Drosophila melanogaster: one gene and its partners. The protein of the gene in region 3 interacts with the protein of the main gene of each other region in a biochemical or structural test. Each region holds a gene or a part of one and is shown on either strand. Other genes may lie near its edges. The genes, in order: N, Kdm5 and Su(H).

Region 1 (9,818 bases), on a different chromosome or scaffold from region 3:
GATTGTTTAGCAGGATTGTTTATAATATAACCTAATAGAATATATTATGAACTTCATTGTTAACATTGAAATTGTCTTTGATAATGAAACTAAGTGTGGTAAGTAGAAAAAAAACCCATTTACAAGACGCAAAACTTTTCACAGTTGAGCGCTGTTTCCACTTGATGATCATCACTCCGTTTTCCCCCGCCGGTTTTCCACGACGACTCGCACTTTATTTTCCCACACGAGAAGCTCGGATGATTAGCATAATGCTTAGCCAAATGAAAGATAATATTATGGGAATAATTGACCTACCCGACGATGTAATTGAGTGCATGATAAGAGGGGGGGTTGGAAAACGTTTTGGCAGGGAGGATGAGTGATAAACAGCCCTCCGGAAAGGAAGGACACACAGCTGCAGTTGTAAGTAATCTATATGCATGTACATAAGTATATGGTTTTTTTTTTCTTGTATTTTTGGTAATTGAAGTGCACTTGAAAACATATGCGACACTTTGACAAAATCCGCCCTCGCCGGGGCAAAAACATATAAAATGCGTGCAGAGAGGGAGAGAGCAGAGAGAAGAGAAGAGGGAGAGAGTGAGAGAGCAAGAGCTGGAGTTCAAGAGGTCGAGGCTGAAGGAAATGCGCGCCAAACTGAAAAAAGGCCGCGCAGGCGCACAAACAAAAAGGGTTGTTGCTCGGAAATCCATAAAAATAATGGCATATGAGTGATATTGTATGGAGTCTCCTCTCTCTCTTTTACTCCTCTTGTCTATATGTACTTTAAATAAACTGAAGCATTTAACACTTCCGGCAGACAACAAAGCAGCGTGTGAATGTTTAGTTAAAGTTCCGAAAACGACAAAACTGAAATGGATGAAAGAAAGAAAAAAAAAAGGCCAGAGTCTTCAATTCATATTTACTTTCCACCTCTGCTAATTTGTCAACGAAGGAACGCCGGTTCTTCTGGCGCCCTAGCAAATGGCCTTATGCAAATGTCGCGCAGGTTGCCAGCACTAAGGGAAAAAGTCAAAGAGAAAGATGCATCCGCGAGATATGGCTACTAATCAATGCTAAGTGAGCGTTCAGATGAAGTGGAACGCAGTTGCTAACAATCATGCAGCCATAAAAAAACTGGACTTTAAATTCCAGATATGTACATATGTACCTAAAATCGAAACTTAGTTATCTTATATTTATAGTTAAAACTTCAAATCGTTCGTTTGGGAATCGCAAGCCAAAACAGAGACATCCTTCTTACATATTTCCTTCAAGATTCTCATCTTAAGTACTTTATAGAGCCAGCGAGTGTCAGACGCTTGAAATTTGAGATACATTTTCAAGTGGCAGCTTGAAGCATGTGTTTATCTCAGTGTTTGTGTATCCTGCAGTTTCAAAGGGGCCTTTTATTTATCTTAAGGATCTATCAGGGTATCCAGTTACCTTTAGAATGTATCTAACCTTTAGCTGTACGTGAGCAATAATAGTTTTCCAATTTATAGTTATATAACCCATATCTGTCAAATTTGCAATTAATTCTTTTATCTTTGCTTATGTTTTGAGTGAGGGTATCTGTAATGATTCTAAGACTCCCAAGACCACCATGAAAGAGTATCATTCGCCATCATATCGTCCCGTATCTTTCTGCATGGCTTCTTCCTTCGACCAGCGATCATTACTATTATTATTATTATTATTATGCAAGCCAAAGTATCTATGCATCTCTTAAAGTCAAACCACTCACTTGAGCTTGGACCGATCTCTATTCTCCCTCTCCCCCAGATGATTCTCAAACACGCATGTGAAGAGAAAAATATAAAGATGGAGACGGAGACTGAAAAAGACAAGGAGATGTCGGCGGAGAAGTAGGAAGAGACGACAAAGTCGTAGCAATTTCAGTTTCAACTTGAGAAGACGACGAGCACACGATCGGCGACTGTCGTCGATCCGCTCAAGTGTATATAATGATGATTGTCATTTTTCATTGCCTCCTCCAAAAAACAGGATAGAAGACGGAAAAGAGACGGCTATATAACGAGCAATAGAACGAGAAAGGGATAGGCCAGAGTCGGCCTGGCCAAGAACATGAAGTTTTTCTATGCCAACTGATTGCGTTTGCCCAGGAAATCGTAAATTTCTTTAATGACAGAGACCAGGGCATCGAAACGAAATTTCATTCGACTTAGCATACAACAGCAATTTTCAAATTATTTTTGAATTATTCTTATTGTTATTAAGGTACTGATATAATTATAAAATATTTTCAAGTTTTATATTCTTATAACAATAATACACGAGAAAGTATTGAGGAAAATTAAGTTTTTTTTATTATATTTTCATATTTACTATTATTAAGATCGATATTTTTCTACCGCTTTTCCACTTTTCAAAGACCGACCATATGAGAGATCTGTCTGTATAAGAGTATCGGAGTAAATCGCATGGGCAACATAGGGGGATTTCTAGGGGGCGTGGCAGGGGCGCAGCCTAAAAGCCCAAAAGCCTGGAAGACAAAAAGAGACCGGGCCAAAAACGAAGAAGAGAAACCAAAGCCAAAACCCAAAGCCAAAACCAAACCAAACAAGACACTTTGGGTAATATCTATAAAAATTGCTGTTGGTGTGTGTTTCTTAGAAGGGGGCAGGGGCGGGGGCGAAGGGGCGGGGCTGGGTCGAAAGGAGGGGTTCTTCTGAGGTTGTCAGCCTTTTTTTTTGTTTTGTTGTACCACTCAGATACTTCAAGAACAAGCCACACAAAGGAGAGAAGACCAAAGAGACCAGCCAAGAAAACCCAAGAAAACAGAAGGAAAAAAAAAAAAAAACTAAAAACTTGTTCGGTCAGTGCGTTCGTCGTCTCTGTTTGTGTGTATCTTGTATCTTGACTCGAATACTATCTGTGTGTGAGTACCTGTATCTACCGACTCGAAAATGTACATGTGTTGGCCATAAAGAAAACTCATTAAACTGGCCATGGCAGAAAGAGTAAGTCAGGGCGCACTAATTCGCCTGGCCATCATTAAAAGTCAATAAAAGCCGAGAAGAGAAGAGCAGTGTAGAGTGTAGTGTAGAGAGCCAAGTCAAGTTAAGTCAGTTCGAGCCAAGCCAAGACGAGCTGAGATTTAGAATCCATACAATCCATGGATTTTTCTAAACGGATTTAATTGCAGCCGACACATGTGAGGACTGTTTTCATAATTAGTTTGGCCAGCAAAACAGTACATACATATCTGTAGAGAAGAAAACCTCAATTCATTCGTTGGCCATTTGAGGCATTTTCCCAAGACAAAACTTGGAAAGTAGTTGTCAACATATATAAACTAGAGAGAAAGAGAGAGAGAGAGAGAGAGATGGGCTGGGAAAATGATTTTCATGTTTATGCAATGACTATGGGAACAAATAACAAATATCAGCCAAGACAGAGCGCAAAAACATTGTGGATTTCCGGAGAGCAAAGATTACCGAGAAGAAGACATTGCACATTGCCAAATGAAATTCTACCTGAAGAGCCTTGCCAATTCTGGTTTCCAAAGGTGTGTCCCGAAAAACAGGATCGAGCATCGAGCATCGGTATCGTCTGGAACGAAACGGAACGGAACTGCTCTGCCGCATATCCACCAATGCCATATCAAGTGACCAGGCAACAAGATTCCTCGACATCTTCTGCTTTACTTTGTTTTCTTTTTTATTTTTTTTTTTGAAGTTTACTTTATCACTTACAGGTTTTGTTTTTTTTTTTATTTTGGCCAAGCGAAAGGCAAGGAGTAACAGCAGATTTAACACTTGAGAAATTAGCCGATTTCATATACGAGTACCGTTTTTTAATTAAGTCTTCTTAAGTTACTGATGGGAAAGTTATATTTTCAAGTGATACTCCTGGTTTTTTTTTTTTGTCCCTGTTGGCCATCGTCGGCGGCGTCGATTAATTAATAAATGCGACAGTAAATGGTCGATAAGTGGTTGTCTCAAATTAATTGAGACGCCCAAATATGAGAGACTTTCACAATAATCTGCGTTTTTAAGTGCCGCGTCCTTGGAAATGGGTTTGCATTCGTGGGAATTGGCCTGGTTTTTTGCTTTAGGTGTTATAAATGCATCTCAGACATACAGTACAAAGTTATTTATATTGATGGAATTGAGGTATTGAGATTCGAATTCAATTTGAGTTGGTTATTAATGACTACCTTGGTTTTACTCACTAACTGAAGCATTCTTACCAATTGCTTCTCACATCTTTTAATGATCATTTAATGCATTATTTATTCAAATGTATAGTGTATGGTATTTATGGTATTTACTTAATGTTGCCTAGTTTTGACTTCATGTACTCTTCCTTTTTAAGAACATAAATCTAGGTATTGCTACCCTCATCTCTAGTTGATCCTTCAATTTAAGTGCCCTCCCTCCATTTTCCCCTCTTAAATTTTTATTTCCATTAAATTTGGTTGCAACTTTATGTGGATGATCCATTCCGACCATAAAGTGCACACTTTACGATCCATAACCATGGGCATGTTGGTTATGCATCGCCATACATGCCGACTTCATGCGCCAGAGCTACATACATACTTACGTATATATGTACATGCATATATAGTACTTTATGTAGTATATTTATATTGACTTGAAGTCTAGGCGAGGGCTAATTAGGGATCCGCCGTGTGCGTGACTTACGAAAGTCAAGAAATGTGTTTTCGGTTTTTACTTCTTTGGTTTTTGGGGTGCGCACAGGATATACAGGAAATAGCCGAGAGAGCGCGCAGATACAAAAGTATCTCTACTCTATGCCCGCTCATTTCCCTTCTCGCTCACGATACAAACAACAACACCATGCCGTGCGATGCCATGCCATAGCATATCGTAATTTGATCTTTGAACAAACAGCAAAAAGGACGCGCATGTGCAATATGCCAGGACTCAGGGGTTGCTCCTGCTGCTCCTGCTTCTCCTGCTGCTGTTTCACTTTTGGCTCCAGGAGCCCAGCTGTCGTTTATTCCAACTACATTCTTTCTATATGCGCCTGGTTGTGTACATATATGATGAAATCGAATGCGGTGGTTGGTTCTGGTTCTCGTTTCTCGAAACCGTTACGTGCCACATTAAACCTGCAAAAAAATAATACCCTAAATTTGTGGCTAAATGCAGGCGTTCGATCGCACAAAGTTGAACAAACTTGGATTGGAGCTAATGGGGCGTAAATTTGTGAGAACTTAATAGGTACAAAAATGTACATGAAGATTCGAGAGATTTTTGTTTTTTTTTTTGGTTTTTTTTTTCCATCTTCGAACACTTTTTTCTTAGCGCAGTAGTAGAATGAAGTGAACTGAATGCAAAGGATGCCCTTTTTGTTTTTGCAATATATCCTGGCATCAATTAACACTCTTATTATTACTACTTTCAGCATTTTTTTCACCTTTATATGCATATGCATTTGTATACTTTTTTATACCGTTTATTTAACTTTTACTACAACTTCCTTTGGCTAAAACTGCAAAGATCACACGATTACCCATGGCTAATAAAGCCAGAAAAAAAAAGAGTTTAGGAGGCGGAAACTCGAGCTCAGGAAATGCCCAGGTAAAAGTTATAAACATAATAGTTCAACGCTCTTCGGTTGCAGCTGTTAAAAAATATAAAAAAAATAGCAGAGATCATGGAGTGCGTAATAATAAAGTTGCCCAGTGCTCAGGGATCAAATTTCTAGTAATGATCATTTAATTGCTTTTAAACGTTTGATGGATTGATGGATTTCGATAGATTTTCGAATAATGAAACAACAAAAAATTCTCTGACATTATCAAATTTGTTTCAAAATACTATGATATCGAGCTGCATTCCCCATACTTTCTCATCGTTGAGCCGAGAATTCCGTCGAAGAGATTTCGAGTTCCATGGAAAGTTGACATTTTACTGGGGCAATCGACCCTAAGTACACCTACAACCGATCCGATCCGATCCGATACGATTCGGTGTTTGTTCAGTGATTAGACAACGACCGCTCCATATGCAAATACCCAAGTAAGCCCCATGTGCATGCGGCACAACACAGCGTGTGGAGGAGGAGAGTTCGCTTCCAAAGCTGGAAAGGAAGTTGGCCACTCACTACTAGCGAGCAAATAGCGCAGTGAGAAAACACAAAGGAAAGAGTGCCTAGAGTGCTAGGGGAATGGAAAAACTCGCCTTTTGCCGACGGTAAAAACGGTCTTTCTTGTTTCGAAAAGGTGGGTTTCCAAATCTGAGAGAGCATGCGCAGTCGGCGGAGAGCGAGACAGCGACAGCGATCGAGCGAGAGCGAGAACGAGATCAGCGAGACAACAAGGAGAGAGAGAGAGAGAAAGAGAGAGGAAAAAAAAACGACCACCTGTCCGAAAAGCGACAACAAAGCGAAGCCAAGGAAGACAGCGCAAAAGGAAGCGCGGTGAATACAAGCCATGAAAAGGAAGGCGAAGAGCGAAGAGGAGCTGCCCAAAAGGGAGACAAACGAAGAGGATCGAAAAGGGAATGGAGAAACACAGAGAACGCATTTGGGAGCGGATTCCGACGATTGCGTTTAAAGTGAAATTCTTTAAGGTAGGATTTGCAACAATCCTATAGGCTTATTAAGCAGATTAAGTAGCATCACTTCCTTTTTGGATTACAGTTGCATGGGTTTGCTCAGTCACTTATATGTGTTGCGAATGCATCCGATTTTATAGACCAACATTTCCTAGCTATGCAATGTAGCGATCTATCCAACGGGTTTAAGCGGAACTAGTCCAATGCAAATGTATGTATATTTTGTAATTGCAATTTTAGTTGTTTCATACTAAGTATGCTCCATTTAAAACTGACATCTAAGACCAAACAATTATGCGATTCAGTACTATTAGTTGAGATCCACATCTTTCAGCTATACAAGATCATCTTATCTCATAGTTTTGGTTCTGTAAAAAACCGTTCTTTGGCAAGCGTTTTGGAACGTTTTGAGCCTCCTGGAATTCCAGTTTGTGCACCCACCCTATTTTCGGGCGACCCCGCCTGTCACCCTGCCCTCCCCCCGCCTAGTTGTTCTGATCGGCGTCTCCGCTTTACTCACCAGTTCCGCGAACGGTGTTTGGCAAATTCGCAAACGCCAGCGTCAACAGCAGCAGAGGCAGCGACGCCGGCAGCGACGCAACGGCGTGCATTTTGTTAATCCAAAAACAAATCCAAGTGTTTGGTGCGCGACTGCGACGTCGGCTGCGCTGCGATTGCATTGTAATCCAGTTTTCCAGTTAACCACTTTTCCAGTTTTTCACCTCTACTCGCTTCTCGGTTTCTTTAGCGCTCCTCTTTGGTCTCTCTTTGAGGATATGTTTAACTGCGAGTTTAGGTTTAGTATGCTAGTCTCAGTAGTTTAAGCAATTTTTTGTTTTAGCGCGTTTGTTGTTTTTTTGTTTTTTTTTTTGTTTTTTATAGTTTTGAACTTCAGACTTTAAAGCTTTATTTGATAAACTAAGAGGAGGCACTCTCCCGACGACGGCGACATTTTCCGTTTTGAAACATAAAAAAAAAGTGGCAAAAAAAGAACGCTTTTCGTGTATCTTTTGCTTGCTTTTCTCTTCGCGAGGATCGAGCCACAAATTCAAATTCAAACCGACGCCGCACGCTTGCGTATTGCTCTCTTCCTCTTGCGCTTCTTGCACTCGGCTTTCGTCTCACTCTCACACACGCGCGACTCGAGGTAGATACACTTTTCGAAAATCCTTGTTTCTCTCCCTCTCTCTCTCTCGCTCTCTGTGTCGCTCTCTCGTTGCTATCCCTGCGACAGGCACTCCTTGCTCTTGCTGAACGGCTTTCCCGCTGGGGCCATCCTTTTCATTTCATTGCATTTGCTTGCTGTGTAATTGATTTGTTTGTATATCCTGTTGGCAGCGCGATTTTACGTGCGTTGTTGCACACACATTCAAAAAAAAAATAAATGTTGAGAACTGTGCTCTGCGCTTTCCAGGTTCGTCTGCCTAACGCTCGTCCGCTTTCACAACCGTTTCGTCCACTGGAAAAAAGCGATCTGTTTCAAATCGGCAGTGTGACCGCGTCGGTGCAAGAAAAAGATACCGTATGGCGGGGAGCCATTTTGGCAGCGCGCTCTTTCGCAGCGTTGCGAGATCGGTTGGTGAACAAATAACGTTAGCCGGGCTCCGAGCCGCTTGCATGAGTAGTTTCCCCATTTCGCCGAATGGCGCTTTAGTGCCGTCATAGCGGTATGTAGAAATTACGCTATGTAAAATGTAAAATTCGACAATGTAAGATTCGTAGAAATTACGCTATGTATAATGTAAAATTCGACAATGTAAAATTCGTAGGCACTGGAAAAAAATGTGCATAAATTTGATTGAAAAACGCACTTGTAGCATTTTTTAAGTATTTTATTTTCCTTTTGTTCTCGTATCTTTATTTCAACTAATTTGAGTTGTTCTCGACTTAAGTTAGGTTTTCCCGCAATACGTTCTTAGTTTTCATTTTCCGTACCTTTTTTTTTCGCAACTCCGCTTCCTGCAATTATCATACTTTACTTGGCTTAATAGGATTTCATTTGAATTTCATTTCGTTTCGTGTGTAACGTCTATATAATTGAACGCTTAATTGAATCGTTTGACAATTATCGAAAACAAAAAAAAATATGTAACACCATACTTATCTCCGATTTTCGGAACGCTATCCCAGTTAAAAAGCTCGGCGCAATTGGCCCACGGAAAGAATAGAATTAGATTCGAGTGTATAAATCAGTTTAAACGAACGGGCATTATTTTTAAGCATTTTCAGAATTACTTTAGATAAATACATACATATGTATATTCTCGAAAGAAACAAAAAATAAAATATGAAACAATAAATTAGTTAATTAATTACAGTATTGGCTTAGTGAATTAAGAACCCAACGAGGAATCATAAGGCAGCATTTCGTGTTAAAAATTGAACGCTTTACACTTAATTGCGTTTTTTTTTTTTTTGGTAGATCGCTCAAATGTTTTACAAATTGTTTCTAAGCTTTTTAAGTTTTTCTTTTTACCTTTAAAATTCTTCATTTACGTCTATAAATAGGCTTAAACCTAAACTAGGCAGACAAAAAAAAAAAATTACAAACATTCTCTCTAATCTTAGCTAGTCATTTTTTAATTCAAGCGTTGACATACACATTTATGCTCTATATATATATATATATATATATATATACGATATACAATATTTCATTTGCTTCTTTACATAATTGATTTAAGTTCAAATATCATTTACGCGCTTAGGGCTAGACAAAAAAATATTCAACTTTTCACATGGATGCTGAAATGCTGTGCCACTGAAAACCCGATCAAAAAGTTGGAAAGTGGGAACTATATATATATATATATATATATATGTTGGTGGTTTTTCTAATTTTATTCACTTTACTCGTAAATCACCAATATTTGGACATCTTTTTGTTTTTAGTTTTTTGCGGCTTGGGGATTATCGATTAAATTGCAATAATACTGTAGCATCCCGTAAAAATATAGTTTTCAATTCAATTTCAATTTTGTTTGTTTGTGTGCAAAATAATAGTTATATATGTTACTTTTGGCTCTTCTTGACCGGGTCACAGATGCAGCACAGCACTTAATCTAAATATTTTCTCTCACTGCATTCAGTTGGTTTCGTTTGATGTATACGTAATTAAGTCTAAAAAATTTGATAAATTTTGGCTTAGAAAATTGTTTTTGCTTTCTGCTGCTGCTGCTTTACTTTTCATTTTCGTTTGCTTTTATATTATTATTATTTTTGTTTTTTTTTTTAGTTCCAACTAACTACACAGGCTTTTTGTTTTGTCATAATGTATATAAT
Region 2 (9,592 bases), 9.0 Mb from region 3:
CATACTCTTGGTCGCCCGGCAACAAATATAACGAGCTCTTAGTGGGAAAACCAGAGCCGTGATCCATTGTGTGCAAGTCCGCCCCATACTCAACGGTAACGTCTTCATCGATAGATGACACGATGCGCCAAAACTCGCGCTCCACCATCTCAGTGGGCACCAAGTGCACCGGCTTGCGGAAGTATTCTTGCTTGAACTGGTCAGCCATTTGTCCAAATTGTTGCAGAGTGTATTCCCTCTCTGCCTGTTCAAAACCAAACGCCTCCTGCGGTTTGCTTACTTCCTCGACGACGCAGCGCGGGCAAAGCCATTCGCCTAGAACGATTAAAAAGAAAAGGTTTATTCGCATTAGTGCATGAGACACGGTTGTAACTTCCTAATCGACGTAATGTAAAATTGAGTTGTTTTAAGTTTTAAAACGGTTTTTTTGTTAGAAACTTTTTGATAAGAATTTTACCTTTGGGTATGCTGGTCAGAGGCGGCAACAGGCAAAAGGTGTGGTAGCTGTCGTCGCAGCCATCGCAAAGCAGCATTGACTCCTCGACGTCGCCGCGATTGCAGATGTGGCAAATGTACTTCATCAGTGGGTCTACGATAAGTGCTGGAGGCTCTCCTCCCTTCTTCTGGCTGGCTCCGCGAGTGTTTGCCGTAGTACCTGTGGCTAATGGCGATCCGCCGCTGTTGACAGCATTGAAACTGCTGAGAAGATCCCTCTTAAATTCTTCCTTGGTCTCCGTCTTGACAAATACGCCCGCTGATGGCTTTGTTGTGGGTGTAACACCACTCAGGCCGCAGCTGGCATTGGAATTTCCGAAACGCTTGGAGCGACGTGTGTTTGTCTCGTTGGGCGGCGCAATCTGCTGCCGTGTGGGAATTTCATGGGCTTTGTAATCGGTTCCACCTCCGTCCTCCAATTTGACGGGTGTGCTACCAGATCCAGACGACGTTGGTGTGGGTCCTAGAACCTTTCCCGAAGTGTATACCTCAAAGGGGTGCAAGATGCGTTCGTAGTGTGCCTTCAGGGTTGCGCCAACACTTTTGCTTGAGGGGTACTGCATCCGGTTGGCCACCTTGGCCCACTTGCGATCCTTTGTGGTTTGCTCCATGCCCCCCTCCTCCTGAACGATGCGGTGCAGTGTGTACAAGTCGAGAGCCTTTCGCTCCACCATTGGGATCTTTAGTGAAGAGCCTTGCAGCTCCCAGAACTTTGCGATCTGATCAAGGAAGTTGAGTTTGACGCGCGTCTTTGCCTCGAGCTCATTCAGCCGCTGGACACGTGGCACAAAGCGTAGCTTGTCCACGTCCACTGCAAACGGCGGCGACCAGGTTGCCGGCGGCAGGATCTTTGCGATTCCACACTTCTCAGCTATGGAGCGGATCTTGCTGATGTAGGCCAGTGGATTCTTGAACTCCTCAGTTGTGGGCCGGAACACAGGGCACTCTGGCGGCGTGTCAAAGTGGAACTCCTCGTTCTTTCCCTGGTCAAACTTGTTGCTGCTGTGCGGCTGCGTGTGGACCGACTTCTTGTGCCCAGTGGGCGCAGGCGTGGGCGTGGGATGAGGACAACTATTATGGTACTTTTTGCTGGCTGACACACTGCTGCTGGCGTGATTCATGGGAACACTGGGCATAGGCCGTTCCATTACCGCCGGAGAAATGCCTGGCGGAGCATGGGTGTGAGATCCTGTTGCTCCTGCCGGGGTGACTGGGGTCGAGGGCTCGTCGTTAGCATTGGATTTCTTTACGGACTCACTTCCACTATTAGTCCCGTTGCCCGTTGAGTTTCGGGTACGCAGACGACGTGCCGGAGTTGCTGTTCCATTCGCGGATGCGCCCCCGCCGGATGAGGTGCCGCTCCCGACTCCTCCGCCGCCGGAGTTGGCGGCCGTCGTGTTGTCCGCCTCAGTTTTGGCGGACATAGCTTTAAGATGAGTTCAGATTAAATTTATTCCGCTCGGTTCTGAAATAGAGAATAAAAGTTACGGATGAGTTCACAACTTGGTAATATTAAATTCGCTCCGGAAAGGTTGTTTTCGTTATTAGGGTTGAAAGACCTGTCCCGGTTATTTAATTATTGTGGCAGACACACTTCTTGGCAGTTTAGCTACTTTGTATTTCAGCTTCAACTACAGTACTCATTACCTAAAGTTGCTAGTAAGAAACGGCTTATTGGCAGTTTGTTTATTCTACTTTAAACGGCATAATATACCAATTAAATTCTCCCTAATTACAACGTTATTTAAATTTGACTTTTAAGCCAATGAAAGTTTATCTAAGGTTTGTTTGCAATAACTCAATAATAATTGTAGTTACTGCAGTTTATATATGTATATATATAAATATTTCAACAACTAGGGGTTACTTGTTGTTGGTAGAGCTATTATGGTGGCTTTTCAGATACACACACTCCCGCCCCGCGCCCCTTGCATTAATTAACGATTCGTTGCCCCGTCGACAGATTTAAATTGGTTAATATCCACAAGAGAACTGTCGTCTTAGTTGGACTTTCCTACCGCTCCTATTGATCGGAGAGGGAACCCCTGCGGCCCACTGTATCTACATCAAATCGCCGCACACCTGTGTGTGTGTGTATATGTGTTGTGGTGCCTGCACTCAACCCTCGCAGGTAAACAAACAACATTTACAGAGGTGAAAACTCGACTTTGCGACGGTGCAAGTGCAGTTACCAAACGATTACTTCGGTTGTGAGGTTGTATCCAGTGCCGCCGGCGGGATCGCAGGATGGGCAACTGCACTGGACCTAGGCGAAGTAATGCCTTTCTCGCATGTTTCCCTCCAGGGGGATGTGGCTTCTCCCGAGGAGTAATAGAGAGAGAGAGAGAGAGTGCAGCGGCGATTAGCCAGCAGCACTGAATTTGTTGCATACAAAAGTGGAGCACGCCAATACAGGCACAACCCCGGACACGAACACGGGGGATTTCCTGGCCGTGTGTATGTATAACATAGCGACCAATAAACTTACAAATTCGATAGCGAACATGTATACACCAAGTGTGCAAAAGGGGATTATACTTATACGCATTGTATTCAAAACATTCAGCACACAGGACCTTCATGCACACACACACACACACTAACACAAGCACATACACTGAGCAAAAGGTGAAAGCTGTTATCTACGAATTCAGCTGACGAAATCGAGAAGCGGAAACGAAGCCATGTTGAAAACCACTGTCAACTCCAACTTCCGGCTGGAGTTCCCAACAGATTTTTCGCGTTTGTCAGCTAGACACAAGGAAGCCGCCGCGACAGAGCTTTGCTTTGGTGGTTGTTGTGACGCACACACACTCTCGCACGAATGTGGGGCGCCACTGCCACTGCTGCCACCACCGAAAAGGGAGTAGAAGTGGGTGGGCAATGTGTGCCTGCCTGACTGACTGGCGGTGCGTGCGTATGTGTGTGTGTGTATAGTTTCCCGTGTGCTTGATCAGGAAGAGCCCGCTCTCGCCTAGAGAGAGCGAGATGAGCGACGACGAGTACCGTTTTTGTGTATCAAGTGAGCAAAGTACATCGTCGACAGCGACGCCGGCAGAGGCATGCTACGTTTGCTGCTCTGCTCGGGATAATGGGATATTATTTCCCTGCGAATCCGTTCCAAATCAAAATCGGTGGATTGCGATTTCGGATTATTGATTGGGCAGCACGGCGTCGTGACAAGTGCCATTTTCCAAACTGCAGCCAGCTGTTCGCTGTTAGTGTTGGACGGGGGAAACTGATTTTCCGTTCTGCGGCCGCCGATCGCTCGGAAAAGCAGCCTAAGCCGAAAGCTTCTTTTATATAATTTCCATTTTCAGCCGCGCACACACACCCGCACGCAGCTTACACGGGCACAAACAAACAGCTTACACGGACACGGGGCACGACAGACACAGGTACGCGAATACAGGCACACACATTCGCACCGAGCATGTACATAAATATGGATGGATTTGGCGAAATTAGCACTGGATATTGGTTACTTTCCAGCAGGAGCGCAAAATTTACGCATTTGCCCTGCCATATTGCACATTTCCAACGGTGGGGGGAGTGGCGGTGAGCGGAAACAGAAAAGCTGAACTGATTTTTTTTTTTGGAAGGTGACTGCAGCACTGTACTTTTCGAATAGTAACTCCCCGCGAACAGCTCGACTGGAGCTATATATTCACTATATACTTGAAAGTCACTAAACTCAGTGGCATATATTGGCTTTCCAGGCGTGGGATCACAATATTTTTCGCTATGATGGCGACCGGGCAGCGACGCAACGCACTTTGCAGCGCTGTCGCTGCTCTGCTGGCGTGTGCAATTGGTGCGCGATTTTCCGTCCGCGGTTTTCCACCGTAATCCGTTCATCCGCGACGTGGTTCCTAACCTAGCCGCGACCTGGCGTTGTCTTCTGGCCGCATTTTCACAATTATTACGGATTTTCGGAATCCCGATTGCGCTGCCAGCAGAGGGAACACACATACAAACATTTTCCACGACTAGTGCGGGGGGTTGTTTTCGCTGTTGGCCAACGCAGAGGCTGCAATCCGCACTTTTCCTGATCTATATGCACCGACTTGGCCAGGTGGGCGTCTGCGTTTTGCTAGTTTGTTCGCTTTTCGCTGCTAATTAAACGTTTTCAGCCATCAGAAGTGCCCCTAAACTCACACACTGGCACGCACACAATCGCACTGGGTTCGGGCACTGGGAACTGGGCACCCTACACTGGGCAAAAACTCACTGTCGTCATAGGAAGTCGTTGGAAGACGCGCACGCTCGGTATGTGATCGAAATGAGTGTTCCATAAAACCACCGAGCACGGCACTGGCGAGGTGGCTTTAATGCGAATTTACTTTTCTGATTTCTTTCTCCGATGTCTGCGTTTTTTCCTGCTACATGTGTCCAGTGTGACCCGTCGTCGAAGTGCCGGAAACGTCGATCTGCCCCACAAAAGTTCGGGAAAATACCAGCCACCGTCCGCGTTGTGCAGCACTGGCCTTCAAATCAAACACAGTTTCTTATCGGCGGAGGTCGACGAATCGGATCTCGTCTTATCGCCGACCCCCCGTTTATTGTTTCGTTTCTGTATTAGATTCAAAATCAGTTCGGTCATAGGCGTTACTCAGTCTAGCCGGCGCCGCGTTTAACACTATGCCGGTTCAGGGACAGGACTTGAAACATCCATAGGATCCATCGAGCATATACGCAAGGTTTCCTAAGTACGCTTTTTTAATTAATTTTATGAAATGTGTTTCAATACAGTGGTAAGCTAAAAAAAGAAAGTTTGGCATTCTACAAGAGTGAATTATATTCTAAGTTATTAATATAAGTAAGTGAGCTCTTTTATTGTTTTTAGAATACTGTGTGTTAATTTAAGCCTTGGCTTTAAGAATTTGAATTTGTATAATATATTTAAAATAACCAGTAGACATAAGTATTTAGTTAACGGTAATGCCTATGAAATTGTTGTTGCTCAACTCAACAAATCAGCAGAAAATGAAATAAATACGCAAACTGGTTTCTGTAAAATACATTGTTTATGCAAGATCAATAAAAAAAAAACAAACATCCAAGTTTTAAAGTTCGTAAGATTGAACAAAATGGCGGTTTTCTTGGGAAACGGTATTCTTTGCAACGTATTTGGAGCCGTCGCACTGCGTGATAAAAAAAGTGCAGTCACGGTCACACTGGCGAGCAGAATTTCATACGTTTTTGTTTCCTTTTGGCCATATTTATTATTGTTAAAATTGGAGCAATGCCAGCTGCTGTGCGCAAGTTCCGCCGCGAGACCAGTGAAATCAGCTGCTGTCTGAAGTACCTTTTGTTCGCCAGCAATGTGATCCTGTGGCTCTCGGCCCTGCTGGTCCTCTCCGTTGGCATCTGGGCCTGGAGCGAGAAGGGCATGTTCCGCAACATTGCGCGGCTGCACTTCATCGCCCTGGACCCGGCCTTCGTCCTGATCATCCTGGGAGGCGTCACCTTCCTACTGGGCTTCATGGGCAGCGTGGGCGCCTTGCGCGAGAACACCTGCCTCCTGGGGGCGGTGGGTACCACATTGTTAGTGGATCCCCTCTGGACCTAGTTAATCCTTATTTTTCCGCTTGCAGTACGCCATCTTCTTGAGTGTCTTGCTTATCGCAGAGATCGGCTTCTGTGCCGTGGCCTTCGTGCTCAAGGACAAGGGCTGGGTGAGTTCCATTTGAAGGCCACTATTCTAGCCAGCCATTACTAAGGTTTGCCTTTTCCAGATCAAAGACCAGGCCACCGAGGGACTCAAGGCCTTCATTCGCCACTATCGCGAGGACGCAGACCAGCAGAATCTCATTGATTGGATCCAGGAGGATTGGTTGCAGTGTTGCGGCATTGATGGTCCCAAGGACTGGGACAGCAACAACTACTTCAATTGCTCGTCTATCGCTATTGGCAGCAGGGAGGCGTGCGGAGTGCCATTCTCCTGCTGCCGCAGACGTCCGCAGGAGGTGATCAAGAACAAGCAATGCGGCTACGATGTACGCAAGGAGGGATATGTAAGTCCGCTAGCTGTTTTCCCCCGTCTTTCCGAAATGCATATTGAAATTCACCCACGAATCGTACGCATGCAGCCGGTGGATAGGAATATACATGAGCGTGGCTGCTTGCGCGCTGGCGAGGATTGGCTGGAGGCCCATCTGATTAGTGTGGCGATTGGCTGCGTGGCTCTGCTCGTCCTGCAGGTGCAAAACATTTCTATAGTCGTCGTTGTATATTTCTTTTTGAATCTTTGAAAATTTTAAGTTTAGTGTAGTTCAGATGAGAGAATCGTTTTTAAGGTGGTCCCATTTTTTTTAAAAATATGGTTTTTACTCGTAGTAGTTACATCTTTTTGTTTTATAATTTCCCACAGACTTTATATTTATTTTATTTTTTTAATTTCTTACCAGGGCATGGAGTTGTCCAAAATAATCTACGAAAAGGGCTGTGTTCAAGCAGGCGAAGAATGGATGGAGCACAACTTGATTATTATTTCCGCAACTGTTATAGTTGTGATGTTTTTTCAGGTTTCTGTTTGATTTTATTATTTTTCTCACTATGACAATAGATAGATTCTTCTTGTAACGATACACTTTTTGTAGATCTTGGGCATTTGCTTTGCTCAGAACCTGCGTGCCGATATCTACACTCAAAAGTCAAAGTGGCACTGACAAATGGCTCTGTCTGCTCCCACGGCCATTTAGAAGGACACCCAAGGTGGCGAAGGATTTGGGAAACTTCGAGGTAAGCCACATGGAGCATCCACCAACTTCAAAATAAGAATCTGTATCTACTCATCTACGCTCCGGTTAGTTAACTATACTATAAATTCCTTGTAAACCCATACTAGGGTGAATCGATTTGGATGCACGATAATCGTTGATAGAATCTAGTCAATGATCAATTCCTAATGCTATTGCCAAAGTAACTATGTTCCGGAAATTACGATTCACCCTTCGCTTTTGATCAGAAAACACAAATGCCTATGGTAAACCCTGATTTTCGGGACACACGTTGTATATTGATATTGGCATAAAATGTTCATTGATTAGGTTTCTCTCCCACGATTTATCTATTTTTTGCGTCCATAAAATCGACCCAGTTTAACCCATACCCCCATTTATACTCAAGAGTACGCTATGTGTCTAACTAAAGCAAACGCATTCCGTCTTCGTGGACATTGACTAATATTAACTAGGTTGCCAAATTTGTTGCTGTTTTTACGTCGGCTTCCCTTTAGCCCAAGAACAAATAAGAAAAAGAAGAGCAAAACATTTTAAATAGATTTTCTACACATTTTACAAAGAAAGTGAAAAAGGAGTCATAGGAAAAATGAAAAATTTATCTTGAAATGCAGCTGTGATATATTTTTAAAGAAAAGTATAGAGAAATCGAAATTAAATGCAACAATTTCCAACAAATCGAATGATCACACCACGAATCTCATTCCTAAACTGAACAAATACAACCTAGCACAACACATATTTGTCTTCAAAATAATAGTTATTTTTATAAGCGAGAAACAAAAAACACAGTTCTGTGACAAATGTCAATATCACAGATCGTAAAATGGAAGAAAGCAATACCACTTGCATATTAATATTAATGAGCTTGAACTAAATTTATGCACAACAAATGGTAAGCTTTACAGCATATGAATATATTTTTGCAACACGCAATTATAATTGAGTAAAAAGTAAGCCAATTGCTGGTTTAACTGCTTGATATCGCACTTGTAACATGATTCACAAGGAAAACATTGATTCGCTCTTGTACCTTTTTAAATCTATATTGCAAAGAGACGTAGTATTGGAAAACTCCAATGTTAGTATTATTTATACTATTTCGCAAACATTCTAATCAAAAGCAATGGAGATTATAAACAACACTGCCCCGAACAGAGTATTACGTTTTTGTGTTCACCAAATAGCTGAAAGGTCCAATTAACTGACAATTGGATAACTAAAGAATTTGCCAATCTTAGTCAGTTTAAAACGATAACTAATTCAACTAACAGTATCCAAACGTTTTCCTAAACTGTCTTAAACTTTAAGAACTCAGTCTGCAAACTTGTATTTATAAAACAGTTCATACTTTTATTGCTGTTCAATATTAAACGTGAATAGAAGTCGAAACTCAACGCCTACATTGCTGCAATGCTCAAAAAGACGATAGTTATAATAAAATGCTTTTACCTTAAAAACCATAAGTACATAGAATGTTATTAATGATACAAAATATGCCCAAAAATCTTGTATGTACACTTGCAACTGAGCAATTGGCCAGATGTGGCAGCTAATACACTTTTTGGATATGTAAAAAGTTAACTTTATGGCAGCTATTGGGTGTATATCCTCTTTAGAGTTTTCCATATAAACATCTGGCCAAATTTTCATGTGCAATGTTAAATTACTAAGCCAATAAAATCACGAACATAGTACGATTAATAATGTGTAAAAGCAAAAAAGTTAACATTCTGCTATAATGGTAACGAAAAAAAGTCAATTGAAAATAAGCTGGAGATCGATAAGAGTCAGTCAAGCACAGATCAACAGCATTTATTAAGGCGTATATAAACATAGATTTATAAGAGTTAGAAAATTTATAATAAAGCTTAACGAAGGTTGTTGACACAAGTATCAATCAAAAACGCTTCTAATAAAGAAATACGGAATAACAATGCATACAAGGCTCATCATTTAAGTGGAACATCACCAGACTCTCCGTCCAGCTGAGCAACTGCGTCGAACTGCACTGCAGGTAGATCCTCGCCAGTTGCTGTCTTATTCGCTCGTTGGTACTCAAGGATCACCAGAGAGTTTTCACCCACTTTCAGTATCTCGTTGGGCACATATAAGGTGACCTGTGGACCTGCCACAGGCCAGTAGCGTCCCAAATTAAAACCGTTCACATAGGCCACGCCCTTGCCCCAACCGGCCATGTTCAAATAGGTGTCGCCCACCTCCGTCACTGTCAGGCTGCCAGTGTAGAGTATTGGTCCGTTTCGAAGAATGCGTTGCCTTGCCAGCAACGGGTCCAAGGCCTTCTCGTCAGTGTGTTCGCGCCGCCAGAGCTCGACGGCGGATTGCTCCAGCGG
Region 3 (11,173 bases):
GAAATAACCGATCACATATTTGATGGACCTCTGAAGCACGAAATTCTGCGCGACGAGATCTACTGCCAACTGATGAAGCAGCTAACGGACAATCGCAACCGAATGTCCGAGGAGAGGGGCTGGGAGCTGATGTGGTTGGCCACGGGACTGTTTGCCTGTTCACAGGGTTTGCTCAAGGAATTGCTATTATTCCTGCGCACCAGGCGTCATCCCATTTCACAGGTGACCTTACTGTTTAGATTTTTAGTTTTTCTTTATTCTATTGTTAATTCACATCACAGGACTCAATGCATCGACTACAGAAAACTATACGCCATGGACAACGCAAATATCCGCCGCATCAGGTGGAGGTGGAAGCCATACAGCATAAAACCACACAGATCTTCCACAAGGTCTACTTCCCGGACGACACAGACGAGGCCTTCGAAGTGGACAGCTCCACTCGAGCGAAGGATTTCTGCAACAACATCTCGCAGCGCCTTTCGCTGCGCACCAGCGAGGGCTTCTCCCTGTTTGTAAAGATCGCGGATAAGGTCATCTCTGTTCCCGAAGGTGATTTCTTCTTCGATTTCGTACGCCATTTGACCGACTGGATTAAAAAAGCGCGTCCCATACGAGATGGAGCGAATCCGCAGTTCACTTACCAGGTCTTCTTCATGAAGAAACTGTGGACGAACACAGTGCCAGGCAAGGATCGGAATGCCGATCTTATATTCCACTATCATCAGGAGTTGCCCAAGCTGTTGCGTGGCTATCACAAGTGTTCCAGGGAGGAGGCGGCTAAGCTGGCCGCTCTAGTCTTCCGTGTGCGCTTTGGTGAAAATAAACAAGAACTGCAGGCCATACCGTAAGTACAGATCATTCAATTAAGATCGAGAACAACATAAATAACGAAAAACTACTTTTCAGACAAATGCTGAGGGAACTTATTCCATCGGATATTATGAAAATACAGAGCACTAGCGAATGGAAACGATCGATTGTTGCATCTTATAACCAGGATGGGGGCATGACTTCCGAAGACGCGAAGGTGGCCTTCTTGAAGATTGTATATAGGTGGGTATCTCAACGTAATCATATTTATAGACTTTTTTTTTAACTACCTTTCTAATATATTTGAACAGATGGCCAACTTTTGGCTCCGCTTTCTTTGAGGTGAAGCAAACCACCGAACCGAATTATCCCGAAATGCTATTGATAGCCATTAACAAACACGGCGTGAGTCTCATACATCCAGTGACCAAGGTGAGAACTATAAACTATATAAATCTATTACAATATAAACCAAGAACATGATACATTTTAAAACTTCAGGACATTTTGGTTACGCATCCATTTACACGCATCTCGAATTGGTCATCGGGCAATACATATTTCCACATGACCATCGGAAATCTGGTTAGGGGCTCGAAATTGTTATGTGAAACGTCGCTGGGCTACAAGATGGACGATCTGCTGACTTCATATATCTCGTTGATGTTGACCAATATGAACAAAAATCGAACCATTCGAGCCAACTAGTAAAACCTACACATAACGCAAAATATTTATAATAATTATAAATTACAATTGCAATAACTTATAAAAGCCTAGTACTTTATAGATTTAAATCATACTTAATACCCACCTCCCTTTATTCCAATTGCATTCCCTTCCCAGAGAATTCATTCCAATTTTGGTCTTGTTCAGCTATCGATTATACCAAACCAACTTGCAACTTTTGTTTTTAGTATTTGTATTTGTATAAATTTTTGCAATTACACGTTTAGGTATTCTTATGGCACATTCCGGTTAAATTATTAAATACAATGTTTTTGTATGAAGAAAAGGTCTTACATATTTTTAGATAAGCATTTGTATCTACACATATTGCATCTATATCTTTGTATATCCTAACTGCATATCTGTACTGATGACGTTTTGTATCAAATACATAGAAATGTTCAATTATTTAATAAATTATATACAAATTATGTGGTCTTTTTAATAGAATCGGATGGAAGGTAAGGTCATCTCATTGACCTGGATTAATGCAAATTTCATTTCGATCAACGGTTAGAAAATTATACTTCGGACACAAACAAACGTGCAAACACGTAGTTAAATGTCTTAAGTTCATTTCGTTTAGAAACAAACAAACGAACTTTGGACACTTAATAACACTTAACTTGAACAAATGCTTGTGACAAGTCTTGAAAATGGGTTCGTATAGAACAAACCAATCTATTTTAGACAAAAAATGCTGTGTAAGCACAAGTGTTAATAGTTCATTAAAGTCATTAATAAATAAAATAATTAGTCTTATATAAATATCTTTGTTAAGTAACAACAATGGAACTAAACAAGTTGAAGTAACGGTTACGACCGACCCCTATAAACTTTGAAAATCCGATCGATTTTGCCATCGATTTACCAATCTTGACCTACGGCTTTGGATTTACCGCGCATGGAAGGGAGTACGTGTCCAAAGTCTTGTGAATACAAATTTTTATAGGACTGGATTATATAGTTTCCCTTGATTTTCTTGCCTGACTCCCACGCCACCGATTTCCCACGCATTGTATTTTGCGAGAATTTCCATTTTTCCCCAGCGTGTGAAAAACGGCAGCAGTCGGCACGGCAAGCTAAAGACTAAAGACGACGGCAGGTAGACTTAGATTTTTCAAGATAATGAACTTTTTTAGTAGACGGTATGAGGTTGTGTAGCAGTCCTGAGAACTTTTAGAAATTGCTGTCTCCCCCTTTCTAAAAACGACCACAATCATCGCACTCGCCTATCCAAACAGTGGTGGAGAAAGAGGGCCTGGGGAAATGTGAAGGAATTGTTCATTAAAAATTCCAAACTAATTTCATATTCAGCTTCTTATAAGACGGCGACGACCTTAAGAGGTTGCAGTTCCAATTGCCAGAGCCAGAACTTTTGGTGGTGGTTTTTCCATCATAATGAACACAGGCGGCCGCCAGTAGTTTGATTCCTCACGCAACCAAAGTTCGTTGTTTAAGTCTTTCGTTCCCATCGCCCGGTGCAGTAAAATCTTAGGGGTTGCAGCCAAGTTCCTATTGGCTGACTCTGATAAGAAATATGTCTCCCAAGTGCAAGATGAGATTAAATGCTTGGCCAGCGCTCACCTTCTGATTCCGTCGAGCGGAAGTGAGCGATAATTAATTCAAAACTGCGAATCTTAATTTGTAAATCTGTAAAGACAGCAGCAGCAACGAATGCATAAATATTCAACAAAGGCAGTAAAAATTCTCACAGCAGCTCGGCAGCGGCTTTTTGGGCTGTGAGAATATTCTGCTCCTTAACTTGGCCAAAACGGAAACAATAGTGTTATATATCTATGTATATTTGCTTCTTAGCTTCGCGTTCAGCAATTCCAGACCAAACTATAATTAAAGTCGGCCCGTCCGAGGGGGTTGAGGCAAACCATCGTGGGAAGAGCTGCACTTGTTTTGTTTAAAAATATTCACACGATACTGGGTAATATTCCCACAGCAATTTAAGGCAACCAATCCTCCCCAGCGCTCCACCTTAGGCCACAGGAAAAATGGTGAACCAGAAGAATCACGCTAAACCAAAAACATAAGCTGACATGATTTGATTATTCTTTGTCATCATTTGGGATTTCTTTTTTTTATTTATGTTAGGCATTTCGCTTACACTTAAATAAATCGCTGTTTTGTCTTGTTGCGATTTTATTTTACAAAATATTTTATTGGGATTTTTAATGCTACGAATTTCCAAAGTTAATAAAAAAATGCAACAAAACTGTATGTACAGAAACAAATTTTTCCCTTTTTGACTTTGTCTTCGACTTTTTAGAAAGCTAAAGAGGGAAATGGAATGTTTTTGTAGCGTGGCTACTGGCTTGTGTATAATAAAAATTTCCGATGCATTTCGCAGTATTTTTTTTTTTCATTTAGATCTTTGGAAATTCATAGCAAAGAAAATCATAAATATTTCAACCGCATCTAAAAATCGTCTATAAACTTACATCAATTGTATATTTAACTAGAATTACATGTTTTGTGTAAAGGTATATTCATGCACATACAAATGTATGTATGTATGTCAGTGAGCTTTTCGAGTTATGTACAGAGTTTTATGTGTCATTTACAATTCTATTGGTTCCGAACTAGCACTAGATACATGTGTAAAGTATGATTCACTTTAGAGAGAAGGGGACACATTTTGGTTTACGTCACGAGGGGTTGAAAATTAGTATGAGAAAAATTGTCAATCTACAAACTAAGGTCTTCGATAAAAACTATAAATAACTTAGGATACATATGTGTGCGATGCAATAATCCTGCACTCAGGATAAGCCGCTACCATGACTATTCCATTGCACTTCTGAGATGGAGGGCAGAGCCTGATGCTGCTGCTGTTGTTGTTGCAAGCCACCGCCGGCTGCCGGCGATCCCGCATTGTTGCTGTTATTATTGTTGCTAATGCTAGTGATGTTATTATTGTTATTGTTCTGTCGCGCTCGCATCACATCCTCGGCCTGTGTATTGCAGTGCGGCCGAGGACCTGGTTCAGGTGTATACGTGAAGGTCAGACCGGTGGCATAAATTATTCCATCGTTGCGCACCAGCGAAATGGGCACCTGCGTGGGCTGACGTACCTGCAAGGACCATTAAAAGTAAAATTTATAGCGCGTATTAAACAGATTTACATTGGAAAACCTACCCAAAGCCATTCGCCTCGAAATTGTGAAATCTCCGGCACCACGCATAGCAATGTCTCTGTGCAGCGGTACATGGTTTCCGCCTCCACATCGCCAAACCACACCTGCAGATGCGGCGTAAAGTTGTCGCCACTCAGCTCTAGCATGGCCACATCCCCGCCGCCATTGAGATTAAGGGAATTAACGATTGGCACTGGAGTGACTGGAGAACTGGAAGAAAACACGAAATGAAAACTAATCCATTGAGTTGTAAGTAAGCTATACTTACGCCACAGGACCCATGCCCTCGTAGAACTGGTACTCAGCCTTGTCGGTGGATATGATGGTCCAGCAGGCGCCGTCATTGATCATCTCCTTGTTCGGCTCCTTGGGGCACGGCGTGGCCTGGAACTGTATGATTTTCTCCTGCGACAAACAGAGATACATCCGATCCGTATCCTTCATGTAGAAGGCGCATTTGTGCAGCTGAGAAACGGGATCGTCGGCTTCCAGCAGGGCCATCTGCTTGTCTACCTTCCGGATGATCAGACGTGGCAGGGCCATGCCCGTTACGGAGCACACCAGTTTGACTGTGGCTCCGTAATGAATGTAACCATCGCGCACCTGAAACTCCTCCGACTCGGACTCATTGTCATCCAGCAGGTGTATCGTAAAAGCTCCCCATTGTGTTGACGACGCATGAAAGTGTCCGTTCTCCACGTGAAGGTAACGGGTGGAGACAGTCTGGGAACGCAGGCGATTGAACAGGGCTACATTGGTGCCGCTGGCTATGCACAGATCGGCATTCTTTAGCGACTGTTTCTTTTTGGACGGCTTGGATATAACCTTGATCCGTTTCGAGTTAAAAACGCCAATGTCATGACCGTTTCCGTAAAACATCTTCACCGACAGCATAAAGTGTTTTCGCTTGTCCGAGTCCGAGATGAAGAGCGTCTTGGCCGCACAGTACTGCTTGCCATTGAGATCCAGCTGCTGCATATCCTGGTCACTGCTCCCGATACCGATGAACGCGCATAGTTGTGCTCCCTGTTCGCCCTCGCCCTGCTGCAACATCTCCTCGTACCGCCGGCGCCAGCCACTTCCGAACAGATAAATGCACGGCGGTGGGCAAAAGAATCGCTTCTCATTGCCATAGGACTTTTGGGCCACCTGGAATTCACACAGACAGACAGACAGAGGCGCACGATGGTGCAGGGAAAATTCAATTAGTACAAATTGCCGTCCAGATTATCGGAAAATCATATCAAAACCGCAAGCAATGCAGCTTTGTTAATTTTCTGTAATTAATTTCAATTATTTTCATTGCGGACTGGACCGCGCTCGCGTTGCTCAATTTGCGGGCAGTCGAGTGTGAAGGATTCCCATTTGGCGGCAGTCGTCGCTTGAAGATCGCCACCGCTAAAAGCAACCGCGACAATTTTATTCCATTTTCATGTCTGCGTTCGCCAAAAACCGCAAAAATGTAACACTTTAAAGTGGACAATGGAAACACTAGCACCTTTAAATAGTGGGTGTGGTTTTGGCGTTGCGGACTGACCGATTAGATTAAAACTAAATTATAAAAAAAAAATAAATATCTTGTAAAGCATACAAGTAATTTTCAAAGAAAGGATACATCGTTAAACTTGAAATAGAAAGAAAATCTGAATTTAATCTATTTAATCTAAAAAATCGAATAATTTAGGAAATCGACGTACAAAACTGACCAAGTTTCTAATTTAAATGAAAGTTAGGATATCCTACGTTTCTCCAGTTTGGGTTAATATATTTTTAGTAATATTGAAATAATGTATTTCAAGCTTCAAATAATTTAATTAAGACTTAAGACTCAGGAGTTCCCTTGTATGTTTTAGAATATCTTGAATACTAAATCCAGACCAAGCACCTGATAATACCGGCTTAAAAGTGGAAATCCTTTCGTACCTTGGCGTGCAGGATAACGATGACCATGTCGTTGCGCTCGCGCATGTACTTCTCCATGGCGTCCCGCGTGAGCTTCTTCTCCTCGATGTGTGGCCGGTAAGGACCCGGCAGCAAGGACATCTGCATTTGTTGTTGATGCTGCTGTTGTTGTTGTTGTTGTTGCTGCTGCTGCTGCTGTTGGTGGTGCACTTGCAATTGTTGTTGCTGCTGCTGCGACGACGGCGGCTGCGGACCGGGCAGTCCAAAGTGCGGCATATCCTGGCTCTGTTGTTGCTGCTGCTGGTGAGGATCGAGGGGTGAGCCGTTGGGATTTACAACCGTAGTTTCGTAGGCAATGGCGGGCGGGGCGGCGGCGTTTAAATTAAATTGGCTGTAGCTCTTCATTTATGCACATGTCTCCTTGCATTGAACTTATTGGAATTTTGTTTGGATCTTTTCTATTATTTCGTTTTTGGCTATTTGGCAAATTCGTTTGGCACTTTATACACTGTTCGCTGGTGCTGTTTTTGTTGTTGTTGTTGCTGCTGTATGTTTTCTATTTTGTTATCCTGCTGCACAAACACACACGCAGAGCAGCTGTCGTTTCTCTCACGCACTCTCTTCCTCTTAACCGCGGATTGGCTTTGTTGTTGTAGCTCAAGCTGGATTTGCGGCTAGCTGCGATTCACGACTAATCACACATATTTCAGCGTTTCGAGCAGATCTTGACTAGCGACTAGCGGTAGTGGCGGCTGGCTTCTGTTTAAGGCTGCAACTAGCGCTCGAGTTATATTTATAATATGCTACAACTAAAAAAGCGACTGAGGATGTTGATGTTGTATCGATAGTCCGATAGGCGCTTATTTATGATAGTCGCTGCCTACCGGCGATATGTTTGTCGCTTCACAGCACTGTTGGTTGGATTTGGATGGCAGTGGGCATTTGGTTATTTTATAGCCAATTTGGAGTAGCTAATATATTTTGTTTTAACTTTGCAGTTTCTGAATACATTTGTATATTTATTCCCATCACATCACTGTTAAAGATATTATTTCTTATATCTATAAATACTTTTAACTGATGCGAAAGGTATCGATTTTCATTGAACACTTCGATTTTGAGCGCCCACATTTAAAATTCAAGGTACAAACTACCAACCTTCTTGTCTAACTGTCCATGCATTTTTAAAACGGGCCGTGGGAAAGTACACATGGGTGAATTTAAAAGATAATTCGCGACTTTAGGCTTAAATGTAACCGTTTAAATAGGTTTAGTGGCAGAAACACACAATATGCAACTAAAAGCTGTTAATTATGTATCAGAATGTAAGCTGTAACTCATTAAAAAACGAATCTGGTGGAGTACACTTAGTTATTCATATATTTTAGCAGTCACAGTGTAAAGTGGAAAAATCTACAATCACTGAATATCATTTGCAATCCGATAGGCAGGTACAATCGATATCACCGCTCGATTTTCGGTGCATTGCCATATCTAACTTGTGAAATCAAAAATCGGTTCCGTTCGGTGCTTGAACTTTTGAGATATTCTAGAAACACATCCACAATGGAGAACTTTAAGGGTCTACAAAAATCCCTATACATATGGACGGACAGCGCCGACTTGGACAAGCGCGTGGAGCAACTAAAGGCGGCCACTGGCGGCGATGTGGCTTTGGAAAATGTGCACCGCCTTTCGTTTTGTAAGTTGCGTGCGGTGCGGTGTGTGTGTGCTGTTTTTGACTAGCCAGTGAGTCAGCAGATTAAAATCAGTGATGTTTATGCATTACAGCTTCCTATGCCAACTCCAGTTTCGACCTGATTGTGATCGAGTGCGCCCAGCTGACCGACAGTTACGTAAAACTGCTGCACATGCTGAAACCGAGTGGCAAACTGCATTTGGTGTCCTACATCGGTCCGGCGGCTAGTTTGCTGCAGGAGATCAAGCTATCCGGATTCATAAACTGTCGCGAGGACTCTCCAGATGCTTTGACCGCCGAGAAGCCTGGCTACGAGACAGGATCCTCAGCCAGGTTGTCATTCGCAAAGAAGAACGCCAGTGCAGTCAATGTGTGGAAGATAAGCGGTGACGATGAGGAACTGATCGATGAGGAGGAGCTGCTGGACGAGGAAGACAAACAGAAGCCGGATCCGGCTGGTCTGCGTGTCTGTAGCACCACGGGCAAGCGCAAGGCGTGCAAAAACTGCTCCTGCGGGCTGGCCGAGGAATTGGAGACTGAAAAACAGAGCCAGAAGGCCACCGAGAATGCCAAGTCAAGCTGTGGAAATGTGAGTTCTCTTAACCCCGATGTGAGTTAGCATTAACCTCGATTATAACTGATTTCTTATATGCACAGTGTTATCTCGGCGACGCCTTCCGCTGCTCCACTTGCCCCTATTTGGGCATGCCCGCCTTTAAGCCCGGTGAGAAGGTGCAACTGGCCGACAACCTCCTGAAATCCGACATTTAACTTAGGCTCACCATGGTATACCCAATCAATCACATTTCAAATAGTTTATTAAGCTGACTTACTAACAAACAATAATGTCATAATGTAAATACAAAAATGCACCGCGTCATAAACACAGCATGTAGATTTAAATATCCAAGTGATCACATTTCGCATGGTGTACCCTTGATGAGATCGCGGTTCTGGCCCATCAAAATACGATAGTTGACGGCCGAGGGATCGAGTTCCTTGTACAAATATGTCGGCATCTTGTCGGACAGCACCCAAATAGTGCCTTCATTGTCGATTTTCATGTCATTTGGAAAGACCAGAGTGTGCGAATCGGAATCGATTAGCCCCTGGGTGTCCGGAGTGTATGGACGCTTGATGTTCCAACAAGCAATGGCGTCTTTGTTCACCTGCGTATAGAAGATGACGCCGGTCTCGGGGTCAAAGACCTCGGCGGTGGACTGGCCATTCATGCCACGGTCACCAACGTATTTAAAATCGTAATACGAATCGCCAGCGGTCACGTGTGATTCGTTTTGCAGCACGCGGTTCGAAACCTTGAACTCCTTGGTACTGGCCAGGGCATGGAAATAAATGTCCTTGGAGTGATCTGGATTCATTGGGCCCACGGCCAGCCCAAAAACGCCATCCGTCCACTGGAAGTTCACGCCGCCCACATTGAAATCACCATGCAGAGGATCGAAGTGGAAGAAGTTGTGCTTGACGCGGTAGGATTTGTCGTTCCTCAGGGAGTACACAATCACACCGTAGGCACCCAAATCCGGAATGTAAGCAAAGGCATCTTGGCACTCCGAGCGGTCCGCATCCACAACCTAAATATTGATTAATTCGATCAGTTTGGAATTTAAATAATACGCCTATGCATACTCACAATATTCGCAAAGAACGAGTCCTCTTTGGTCTGATCAGCGGGAATGGTGAAACGGCGCAGTAAAGTATCTGTTTTCAAGTCGAAAACCAGGATTGAATTGGGCGTAATCTGCTTGGGACTGCCCAGGATGTCGGCCAAGCCAGTATCGAGCACCCACAGGCGATCGCATACGTCGACTTGAATTCGGAAGGTGGAAATGACAGTGGAGTTGTCCTTCAGCTGGATGCCGGCATCTTGAGCCTTGTCCGCGTCCAGACGTCCACCGGATGGTGTCTTTTGGTCCTGTGGCTGCACATCGATGGGCAGCTTGTTGGCCTCCCAACTGGGATACGGATGCAGCTTTGGCGACTTCTCCGTCGAATTAATGTCGATGTAGTTGAGTGTGGCAGCAACACCAGCCTTCCATCTAAAGGGAAAGTAGATCATTTAATAATGAGGAGAAATAAATTAACTAAAAAATTTACATTTCAGACTTGTTTAGTTACTAATTACATTTAAACCTGACACTGGCAAGTAACAAATTAATAACATTAAAAAGTACCATTCACCTGCGCAATTATTATGACTGATTGGATATAGTCTAATATAAGCTATAGTTTTAATTTATATCTTAGCACTATCAGTTAAAACTTTGACGGCAACTATAGCTTAAATAATTATGCTGTATTATCAACAAAATATACTTTTTTTACGTATCTTATTTTTCGAAATGTTTTTAAATCGAATTTTGTTTTGATTACTCATATCTCCCGAAAAGCAGAATGGTTTTCGGGGCTTTTTGGCCAATAAGCGCATCGGTGGTAAATCCCAAAAAGGTGACGTCACAAAGACTTTGTTTACTAGTTACCTAGTTAGCCTTTTATGGGATCCATAATATTCCATAGAATTTTCCGATCATGTGTTTTCTCTTATTAATTTATAATTAACCTCATGTTACGATTTGCATTTAGAAACCACGATTTAAAATGCAAAATAGACATACACAAATGGGGTAAAAAATGATAAAGTTAACTAGCCAGCGAGGAAACCGGTTTCCCCTCCTGACGCTCGATGATTTTGCAAGTCTAGCTTGACATTTAATTACAAACCAAGCCAACAAAAAAGGTAAATAATAAGAAAAAAAAAGAAAACCTAACTACAGCTTACCGTAAGTTTGTTGTCTCTTTTTTTTTTGTCTATGAATTTGGTTACTTACCTTGGCACAGTGACAAAGATTCTGTTTTGCCAACG

The links.
Region 1: the proteins of Su(H) (region 3) and N form a complex in vitro, tested with the Drosophila melanogaster proteins (4 studies listed by BioGRID).
Region 2: the proteins of Su(H) (region 3) and Kdm5 form a complex in vitro, tested with the Drosophila melanogaster proteins (one study listed by BioGRID).

What each region holds. Positions count from the first base shown.
Region 1 is NC_004354.4:3,133,066-3,142,883, reverse strand, and holds the start of N (notch), read right to left. Parts: upstream 8,015-9,818; 5' UTR 7,217-8,014; coding exon 7,057-7,216; intron 1-7,056. UniProt on the Drosophila melanogaster protein: Essential signaling protein which has a major role in many developmental processes. Functions as a receptor for membrane-bound ligands Delta and Serrate to regulate cell-fate determination.
Region 2 is NT_033779.5:5,994,572-6,004,163, forward strand, and holds the start of Kdm5 (lysine demethylase 5), read right to left. Parts: upstream 4,931-9,592; 5' UTR 4,727-4,930; intron 3,194-4,726; exon of another isoform or gene 3,112-3,193; intron 2,215-3,111; exon of another isoform or gene 2,143-2,214; intron 1,961-2,142; 5' UTR 1,920-1,960; coding exon 458-1,919; intron 316-457; coding exon 1-315. Other genes in the region: Tsp26A (tetraspanin 26A), read left to right, coding at 5,741-6,028, 6,093-6,173, 6,234-6,512, 6,588-6,698, 6,906-7,022, 7,098-7,166; Gal (beta galactosidase), read right to left, coding at 9,191-9,592. UniProt on the Drosophila melanogaster protein: Histone demethylase that specifically demethylates 'Lys-4' of histone H3, thereby playing a central role in histone code. Does not demethylate histone H3 'Lys-9', H3 'Lys-27', H3 'Lys-36', H3 'Lys-79' or H4 'Lys-20'.
Region 3 is NT_033779.5:15,035,762-15,046,934, reverse strand, and holds Su(H) (suppressor of hairless), read right to left. Parts: upstream 7,448-11,173; 5' UTR 6,999-7,447; coding exon 6,615-6,998; intron 5,841-6,614; coding exon 4,960-5,840; intron 4,902-4,959; coding exon 4,694-4,901; intron 4,629-4,693; coding exon 4,317-4,628; 3' UTR 3,601-4,316; downstream 1-3,600. Other genes in the region: ck (crinkled), read left to right, coding at 1-222, 282-847, 910-1,056, 1,125-1,245, 1,315-1,521; CIAPIN1 (cytokine induced apoptosis inhibitor 1), read left to right, coding at 8,160-8,295, 8,385-8,881, 8,950-9,063; yellow-c, read right to left, coding at 9,207-9,884, 9,944-10,349, 11,139-11,173. UniProt on the Drosophila melanogaster protein: Transcriptional regulator that plays a central role in Notch signaling, a signaling pathway involved in cell-cell communication that regulates a broad spectrum of cell-fate determinations.